Linked DNA regions of Sus scrofa. The protein of the gene in region 1 purifies or fractionates together with the protein of each later gene. This does not show direct contact. Links are inferred from orthologs where the notes say so. Each region holds a gene or a part of one and is shown on either strand. Other genes may lie near its edges.

Region 1 (3,865 bases):
GAGCGTGGGGTCCCCTCCCCGTGTTGGGCAGCCACATGCCAGGGCACTTTCCCACCACCCCTAGTCCCCTTTCCTCTGTTCTGGCTTCCCCAGAGACCACCGGCACCCCAGGCCCCAGGCACTGACTGCCCCTTCCTCCAGCTCCCTAAAACTCAAGTGTCCACCCCACAGAGGCCCCTCCCTGTGCCCACTGGGGCTCTCCCATGGTCCCCCCGCCTCCCCGTGCCCGCCCTGGGCAGGAAGCTGGGTTTCCAGGCTGGGCTGGTGGAGGGGGCCGGCAGCGTTTACCGCATCTGACCACGATAGGAGGGAGGGCTGTCTCCTGCTCTCCCCCAGCCCCTGCATGGGCAGGGCCCCGCCAGGGTATAAATAGGTCAGGCTGCTGGGCTTCCCCACTCTTCCTCTCGCCCCAACCCTCTCTCCTCTGCGCTTCCTCTCTCTTGGCCTAGTGAGTTGTGGTCGGCCTGGTGAGTTGTGGTTGCCTGACTGGCACACGAGGGGGGGTCAGGCTGAGGCTCGGTGCAGGAGAAGCAGAGGCTGGTGGGCACCAGATGTGCTAAGTGGGTCGGGATATGAGATTCTGATGGGAAGGCTCTTGGGTGGTGTGTGTGTGTGTTTGTGCGTGCGTGTGTGTGCACGTGCATGTGCATGCCAGAGAGACGCAAAAATTAAAAGTAAGAGCGAGGAGCAGGTGGCTGATGGGAGCTGTCGCAGCGGTACTGGGATGCTGGGGCTTGCCTGTGTGGTGGCTGTAGTAGGTTTTGGGATGCTTGTGACCGGTGGGTGTGCACATTGGCTCATGTTTGCTGCGTTGCACAAGCCAGTGTATGCACACTCGGGCATGGGAAGCACAGTGAAGGCAGTAGGCGATGGCAGGCTTTTGTTTCCTTGTGTCCTGGGAGCTTCTGCCCTGCACACAGCAGCCCAGCTCAAGGGAGGGTGGCCTCCCCATCCCTCCCCTGCATCCGCGTGCGCCTCTGCCACCTCATCCTGCCCCTCCCTATGCAGTGCCGGGCCGCTGGTTTTTTCCGCTACAGGCCCCTGGGCAGATCTCCAGCAGTGTCGCCCAACCCAGCGCTGTGAGAGAGAGAATGGGCCAGGGTGGGGCTGCTGGGGGCTGAGCCTGGGAGTGAAGGGCCCGAGGGAGGAGGGGTGGAGAAAGGCTCTGGTTAAACGGACTGCCTGCAACCCGGAACCTGCCATCCTGGCCCGCAGGTGTTCACTGCCCCAAGCACGAACTTCCCAAGTGTGCACAGCCACCCCGCCAGGAGCCGAGCCCCACCTTTCAGGGCTCCCTCTTGGGTGGAAGCAGAGTCTCTCCAAGGGCTCCCTGAGGGATGGAGGTGGGGGCATTCTGAATACATAGCTGGGGGCAGGGTTGGGGGGGGGGATAAGGATGTCTCTGTGATCCTGCCCCCAGATCCTGACTGCTGCCATGGCCTACCCCCTGGAGAAGGCCCTCGATGTGATGGTGTCCACCTTCCACAAGTACTCAGGCAAGGAGGGTGACAAGTTCAAGCTCAACAAGTCTGAGCTAAAGGAGTTGCTGACCCGGGAGCTGCCCAGCTTCCTGGGGGTGAGTGATGCTGAGTGGGGCGGAGCGGGGTGGTCTTCAGGACTTCAGGAGCATCAGCAACCGGGGCCTCTCTGGCTGACATGGGCAAGTGGGGGCAGAGAGCTTGCTCTGGCTGCCTAGTGAGCACCCACTGCTCACTTCCTGGCCCCCAGCCGAAAGAGGCACAATGGACCTGGAGGGAAGCTGAAGCTCAGAGATACTAAGTCACTTCCCTAAGTAGTTCGTGTATAAAGCTGAGATCCATGAATCATGATGGTCTGACTCTTGCCATCAATCCAGCTATGAGCCATTTTTAAAAATAAACACTCTATCAAAGTTTCTTTCTTTCCCTCCCTTCCTTCTTTCCTTCCTTCCTTCCTTCCTTCCTTCTTTCTTTCTTTCCTTCTTCCCTTCTTTCTTTCTTCCCTTCTTTCTCTGACCGCACCTGCAGCATGCAGAAGTTCCTAGGCCAGGGATGGAACCTGCGCCACAGCTGTAACCAGAGCCACAGCAGTGACAAGGCTGGATCCTTAACCTGTTGAGCCATGAGGGAACTCTGCCACCTTCTTTTTAAAACTGATGTGTAGTTGATTTTCAACGCTGTGTTAGTTTCAGGTATACAGCAAAATAATTCAGTTGTACATACATGCATATTTTTTCAGATTCTTTTCCATTATAGGTTATGACAAGATATTGCATATAGTTCCCTGTGCTATAGAGTAAATCCCTGTTGCCTTTCCTGTTTCATATATAAAAGTATATATTTGTTAATGCCATACTCCTAATTTGACCCTCTCCCCTATAAACCATTTTTGAGTTTCTCTTTGGCTTGTGAATGTGAAGATACACACATACCTACAGACACACCCCAGCGTAATCACAGTTACCATCTGTATCAACCTTTGTACAATTTATGCATTGCTTTCATGACCACTGTCTAACTGGAGTCTTTTTTTTTTTTTTTTTTTTTTTTTTTTGGTCTTTTTGTCTTTTTGCCATTTCTTGGGCTGCTCCCACGGCATATGGAGGTTCCCAGGCTAGGGGTCGAATTGGAGCCATAGCCACCAGCCTACACCAGAGCCTCAGCAACGCGGGATCCAAGCCGTGTCTGAAACCTATACCACAGGTCACGGCAAAGCTGGATCCTTAACCCACTGAGCAAAGTCAGGGATCGAACCTGCACCCTCATGGTTCCTAGTCGGATTGGTTAACCACTGAGCCATGACGGGAACTCTTCTAACCAGATTCTTAAAATGACCTTGGCAGACGATGTTGTAGTCCCCTTTTCCAGGGGCTTCCAGGTACCCAGACTTCCTCATCTGAAGGGCAGATCTCCTCCACGCCCTCGCCTAGCCCTGAGGGCTGGAGGTTCAAAGCTCCCCCCGGACCCACAGCCTGCCTGTGCCTTCCTGAGGTCCCATCTGGAGCTAGTCTCAGCTCTGCTCCCCCTGCCCCCACCCTGCCCCTCCTGCTTCCAGTTTCTACCCGCAGCCTCTTCCCCCTGCAGAAAAGGACGGATGAAGCTGCTTTCCAGAAGCTGATGAGCAACCTGGACAGCAACAGGGACAACGAGGTGGACTTCCAGGAGTACTGCGTCTTCCTGTCCTGCATCGCCATGATGTGCAACGAGTTTTTTGAAGGCTTCCCTGATAAGCAGCCCCGGAAGAAGTGAGGGCTCCTCGGATGTGGGTGGGGGCCCTGCCAGCTGGGAGGGGGTCTTCCCTGACAGAAAGGGCACAGTGCCTCACCGTGGCTCTTCCTGACCTGATCAAGTTCAATAAAGATTCTGAAAGCTATAAGACTGATGGTCTGAGAGGGTGGGATGGGGCCTGAGGGATATGGGGGGTGTGTGGGTGGGAGGGGTACTGGCAGGTTTGCTGCTGTTTTGTGAAGAGTGGAGAGCAGACTGGTGAAGGTGGGAGAGGGATGCGTGACCGTGCATGGGTATGTGGGACAGACTTGACTCAGGATGGGGCTGAAGGCAGGGAAAGGGACCCCAGAGGCTTGGACCGCCCCAGCTGTAGGATCTCGGCCAGGGCACTCACCCATCCCATCTCCCCAACGTTGCCTCCAGCAGGACCGCAGACTGAAGCTGGGATGGGATGGAAGGTCACATCTGTTCTTGGTTGGGGTCTGGGAAGGAGTGTGGGCGCCCTGGGGATGGTGGGGGAAGGGCTGAGTCACGGGGAGGAAGTCGTGAGGCCAGAAGGGGGAGGGGGAGGAGGGCTCGGACCTGACATTGACAGCCCAGGCCCTGCCTAGCCACCCCTTCCAGCACCTTGGCTTCAAACCCCAGGGATGGATGAATCC
Region 2 (3,815 bases), on another chromosome or scaffold:
TTTAGGAAAGGAAATCTTTAAAGGGATGTTTAACTCTGTGGCTAAAGGAGGCAGGAAAATAAACTATACCCAAGAAAGGAGGAAGAGCAATTAAAACACAATCTCTGGCATCAGTTACACGGGTAGAACCATCATGTGGGGAAAAGGAAGGCACAGAGGAAAACAAAGCCAAAGAAGTCAACGAGGCAGGATTTGAGGCTCTGAGAGAACCAGATGCTTTACTTCCCCAGGTTCCAAGAGGAAACAGGTCTTTGCCTCCATACATGGACAGGCATGTGCATGGTAAGTGCATGCTGTGTAAACCTTGACCTCAGATGCTACCTCATCAGACGGCCGCCTCCGTAGACAGTTTGGTTCAAAGTTATTGATCCTCAGGACCTGGATGGCCCTTTTGATGCTGAGATGATGGAGCACACTTACAACTTTCAGAGACAGTAAGTCATCCTACAAAACAAAACAAAATGAGGAGTTCTCTGAGCAGGAGAACCTTCTTAGGGACATCTCAGAAAACTCAAGGTAAAGTAGAAGAGCCCCTCCACTGATAGGCCCCCAAGGGCTTGTCAGCATTTTCAAAGCTTTTCTTTAGGAACAGAACCCTTTTTCCTGTTCTGAACAAAATTTTCTCCAGGACCCCAACATAAATGAAAACCAAAATTCATGTTGTTCCAACTGAAGCTAATTTCTACCTGTTTCTCTCGTCTACTGAGATAGGATCATGGGACTGAACAGCTTTGAAAAGCACAGTTTGGAAAGCACTCCCAGGAGTTCCCTGGTGACTCAGGGAGTTAAGGACTGAGCGCTGTCACTGCTGTGGCTCGGATTGCTGGTGTGGCACAGGTTCAATCCCTGGCCTGGGAAATTCCCCATGCTGTGGGTGCAGCCAAAGAAAGAAAGGAAGGAAGGAAGGAAGGAAGGAAGGAAGGAAGGAAGGAAGGAAGAAAGAAAGAAAGAAAGAAAGAAAGAAAGAAAGAAAGAAAGAAAGAAAGAAAGAAAGAAAGAAAGAAAGAAAAGCACTCCTTGGTTGTCAAGGGGGAGGGAGGAGAAAGTGGGATGGACGGGGAGTTTGTGGGTGGTAGTTCAAACTATTACATTTAGAATGGATAAGCAATGAGGTTCTATTATATTCACTCTCTTGAGGTAGAACATTTTGGAAGGATAGTATTAGAAGAAAAATGTATATATATATATGTATGATTGTGTCACTTTGCTACACAGCAGAAATCGACACAACACAATCAACTATATTCTAATAAAAATTAAAAAAGAAAAAAAAGCACTCCCTGGGTCACCACAGAAAGTAACCTGCTTTGATTTGATTTGATGAAGCAGATAACTGAGAGCTGGGATGATCACTGATGAGTTGGTTTTCTGAGCTCAGGCACATCACAGTTTGGGGGAAAAGTGGAAGATTGCTTCTGTGATATTAACCCCCCAGACTCAAGAAATCTCTGCTTCTAGATTATAGTGTTTTATTGATAAGAGGTTTGGAATAATTATATTAATCGATGCAAAGCTTTCGGTGAGAGGTAAGGACAGAAGAGAAATAAAGAAGTTGTTAAGTAGCAGCACAGATCACCAGGCGATTCCTTTAAGAAGTAACTTTCACCAAGTCTGTGGCTATTGGGAACTTTTAAAAACATACCAAACACACCAAAACAAATTATCTTAGAAAGTGATTTGGGGGCGGTAGTGTCAAGAAAAGCACTAGTCTGCTTGCAAACACACCCAGAAAATAAACAAGGAAAATATCCATTTCAGACACGCCTTACCGATAACATTTCCTGCAAGGGAAAAATTAATCTACTATAGGAATATTTTTAAAATAAAATTATAGGACAGTTTAAATCCTTAAGGCTACTAACTGAGCCTTAAAAAATGATTTCCCAAATTCTTTTCTAGATTAATTTCTTAATGTAATAATAAGTTAGAAAAGGCATTTAACTTTTTTTTTTTTTTTTTTTTTTTGTCTTTTTGTCTTTCTAGGGCTGTACCTGCGGCATATAGAGGTTCCCAGGCTAGGGGTCCAATCAGAGCTGTAGCCCCTGGCCTATGCCACAGCCACACCAGGTCCGAGCCATGTCTGTGACCTATACCACAGCTCACGGCAATGCTGGATCCTTAACCCACCGAGCGAGGCCAGGGATCGAACCTGCAACCTCATGGTTCCTAGTCAGATTTGTTTCCGCTGTGCCATGATGGGAACTCCACATTTAACATTTTTAATCTAAGATTGAGATGCACATTCAAAACATTTCCATGTGCACTATTACCAACTAATTAAAAGTCTTTCAGATTAAAAAAAATTTGAAATGCTTAAGTATTTACAATGTAAATAAGATATTAATTAGTTTAAGGGGTTTTAAAAGCAGGGGTCATTTTCTTTTAAATCAAAACACTTTAGGGGAGGGTTTTGTTTGTTTGTTTGCCTCTTCTAGGGCCACTTCTGCAGCATATGGAGGTTCCCAGGCTAGGGGTCTAATCGGAGCTGTAGCCACTGGTCTACGCCAGAGCCACAGCAACGTGGGATCCGAGCCGTGTCTGCAACCTATACCACAGCTCATGGCAACGCCAGATCCTTAACCCACTGAGCAAGGCCAGGGATCGAACCCTCAACCTCATGGTTCCTAGTAAGATTCATTAACCACTGAGCCACGACGGGAACTCCAGGGGAGGTTTTTAAAAATCTTTTAAGTAATTTTAGATTTATACAGGAGCTGCCAAAGAGAGTACAGAGACTCACAGGCCCTTCACCCAGCTTCCTCTAATGCCAACATCTTCTATAACCAGGATATTCAACAAACGAAGACATTAATACAGACAAAATCAAATTCAACTAAACCTTAGACTTTATTCAGATTTTACCAGTTTTTCCACTAGGTCCTTTTTTTTTTTTTTACTTTAAAAAAAAAGAATACTTAAAATTTCTCCATTTTTAAACATTTTTATTAAAGTATAGTTGATTTAAAGTGTTGTGTCAATTTCTGCTATACAGAAAAGTGATTCGGTTATATATACATATACTTTTTCATATTTTTTTCCATTACGGTTTATCACAGGATATTGAATATAGTTCCCTGAGCCATCTAGGATCTCGTTGTTTATCCATCCTACATACAACAGTTTGCCTCCGATAATCCTAAACTCTTAATCCATCTCTCCCTTATCCCATTTCCCCCTTCACAACCACAAGTCTGTTCTCTATGTCTGTGAGTCTGTCTCTGTTTCATAAATAAGTTAATTTGTGTTGTATTTTAGATTCTACATAGAAGTGCCAACATACGGTATTTGTCGTTCTCTTTCTGACTTATTTCATCTAGTAAGATAATCTCCAGGTCCATCCACGTTGCTACAAATGGCATTATTTCATTCTTTTTTTATGGCTGAGTAATATACAATTGTGTGTGTGTGTGTGTGTGTGTGTGTGTGTGTGTGTGTGTGTGTGTGTAGCATTTAGGTTGTTTCCATTCTTGGCTATTTTGAATAGTGCTGCCATGAATATACGGGTGCATGTGTCTTTTCAAATTTAAGTTTTATCTGGATATATGCCCAGGAATGGGCTTGCTGGATTATATGGCAGCTCCATATTTAGTTTTTTGAGGAACCTCTATATTGCTTTTCATAGTAGATGCACCAATTTATATTCCCACTAGGTCCTTTTTCTGATCCAGGATCCAAATCCAGGATACCAGATTCAAACAGACTTTCTTTGATTTTGGATTTCTGGTAATTTATTCTTTTATAGCCATGGAAGTCATACGTTTGTCTTTTGTGATTTTCAGTCTGAATTTGCTCACATTCCCACAGGAACATAGTCA

What was found.
Region 2: the proteins of S100A4 (region 1) and PPFIBP1 purify together in Homo sapiens (co-immunoprecipitation; 3 studies listed by BioGRID and IntAct, with this or other methods). This does not show direct contact. The link is inferred for Sus scrofa from reciprocal best matches to the Homo sapiens genes S100A4 and PPFIBP1.

The regions. Positions count from the first base shown.
Region 1 is NC_010446.5:96,087,807-96,091,671, forward strand, and holds S100A4 (protein S100-A4), read left to right. Parts: upstream 1-1,435; coding exon 1,436-1,576; intron 1,577-3,062; coding exon 3,063-3,227; downstream 3,228-3,865. UniProt on the Homo sapiens protein: Calcium-binding protein that plays a role in various cellular processes including motility, angiogenesis, cell differentiation, apoptosis, and autophagy.
Region 2 is NC_010447.5:46,037,664-46,041,478, forward strand, and holds part of PPFIBP1 (liprin-beta-1), read right to left. Parts: intron 445-3,815; coding exon 322-444; intron 1-321. UniProt on the Homo sapiens protein: May regulate the disassembly of focal adhesions. Did not bind receptor-like tyrosine phosphatases type 2A.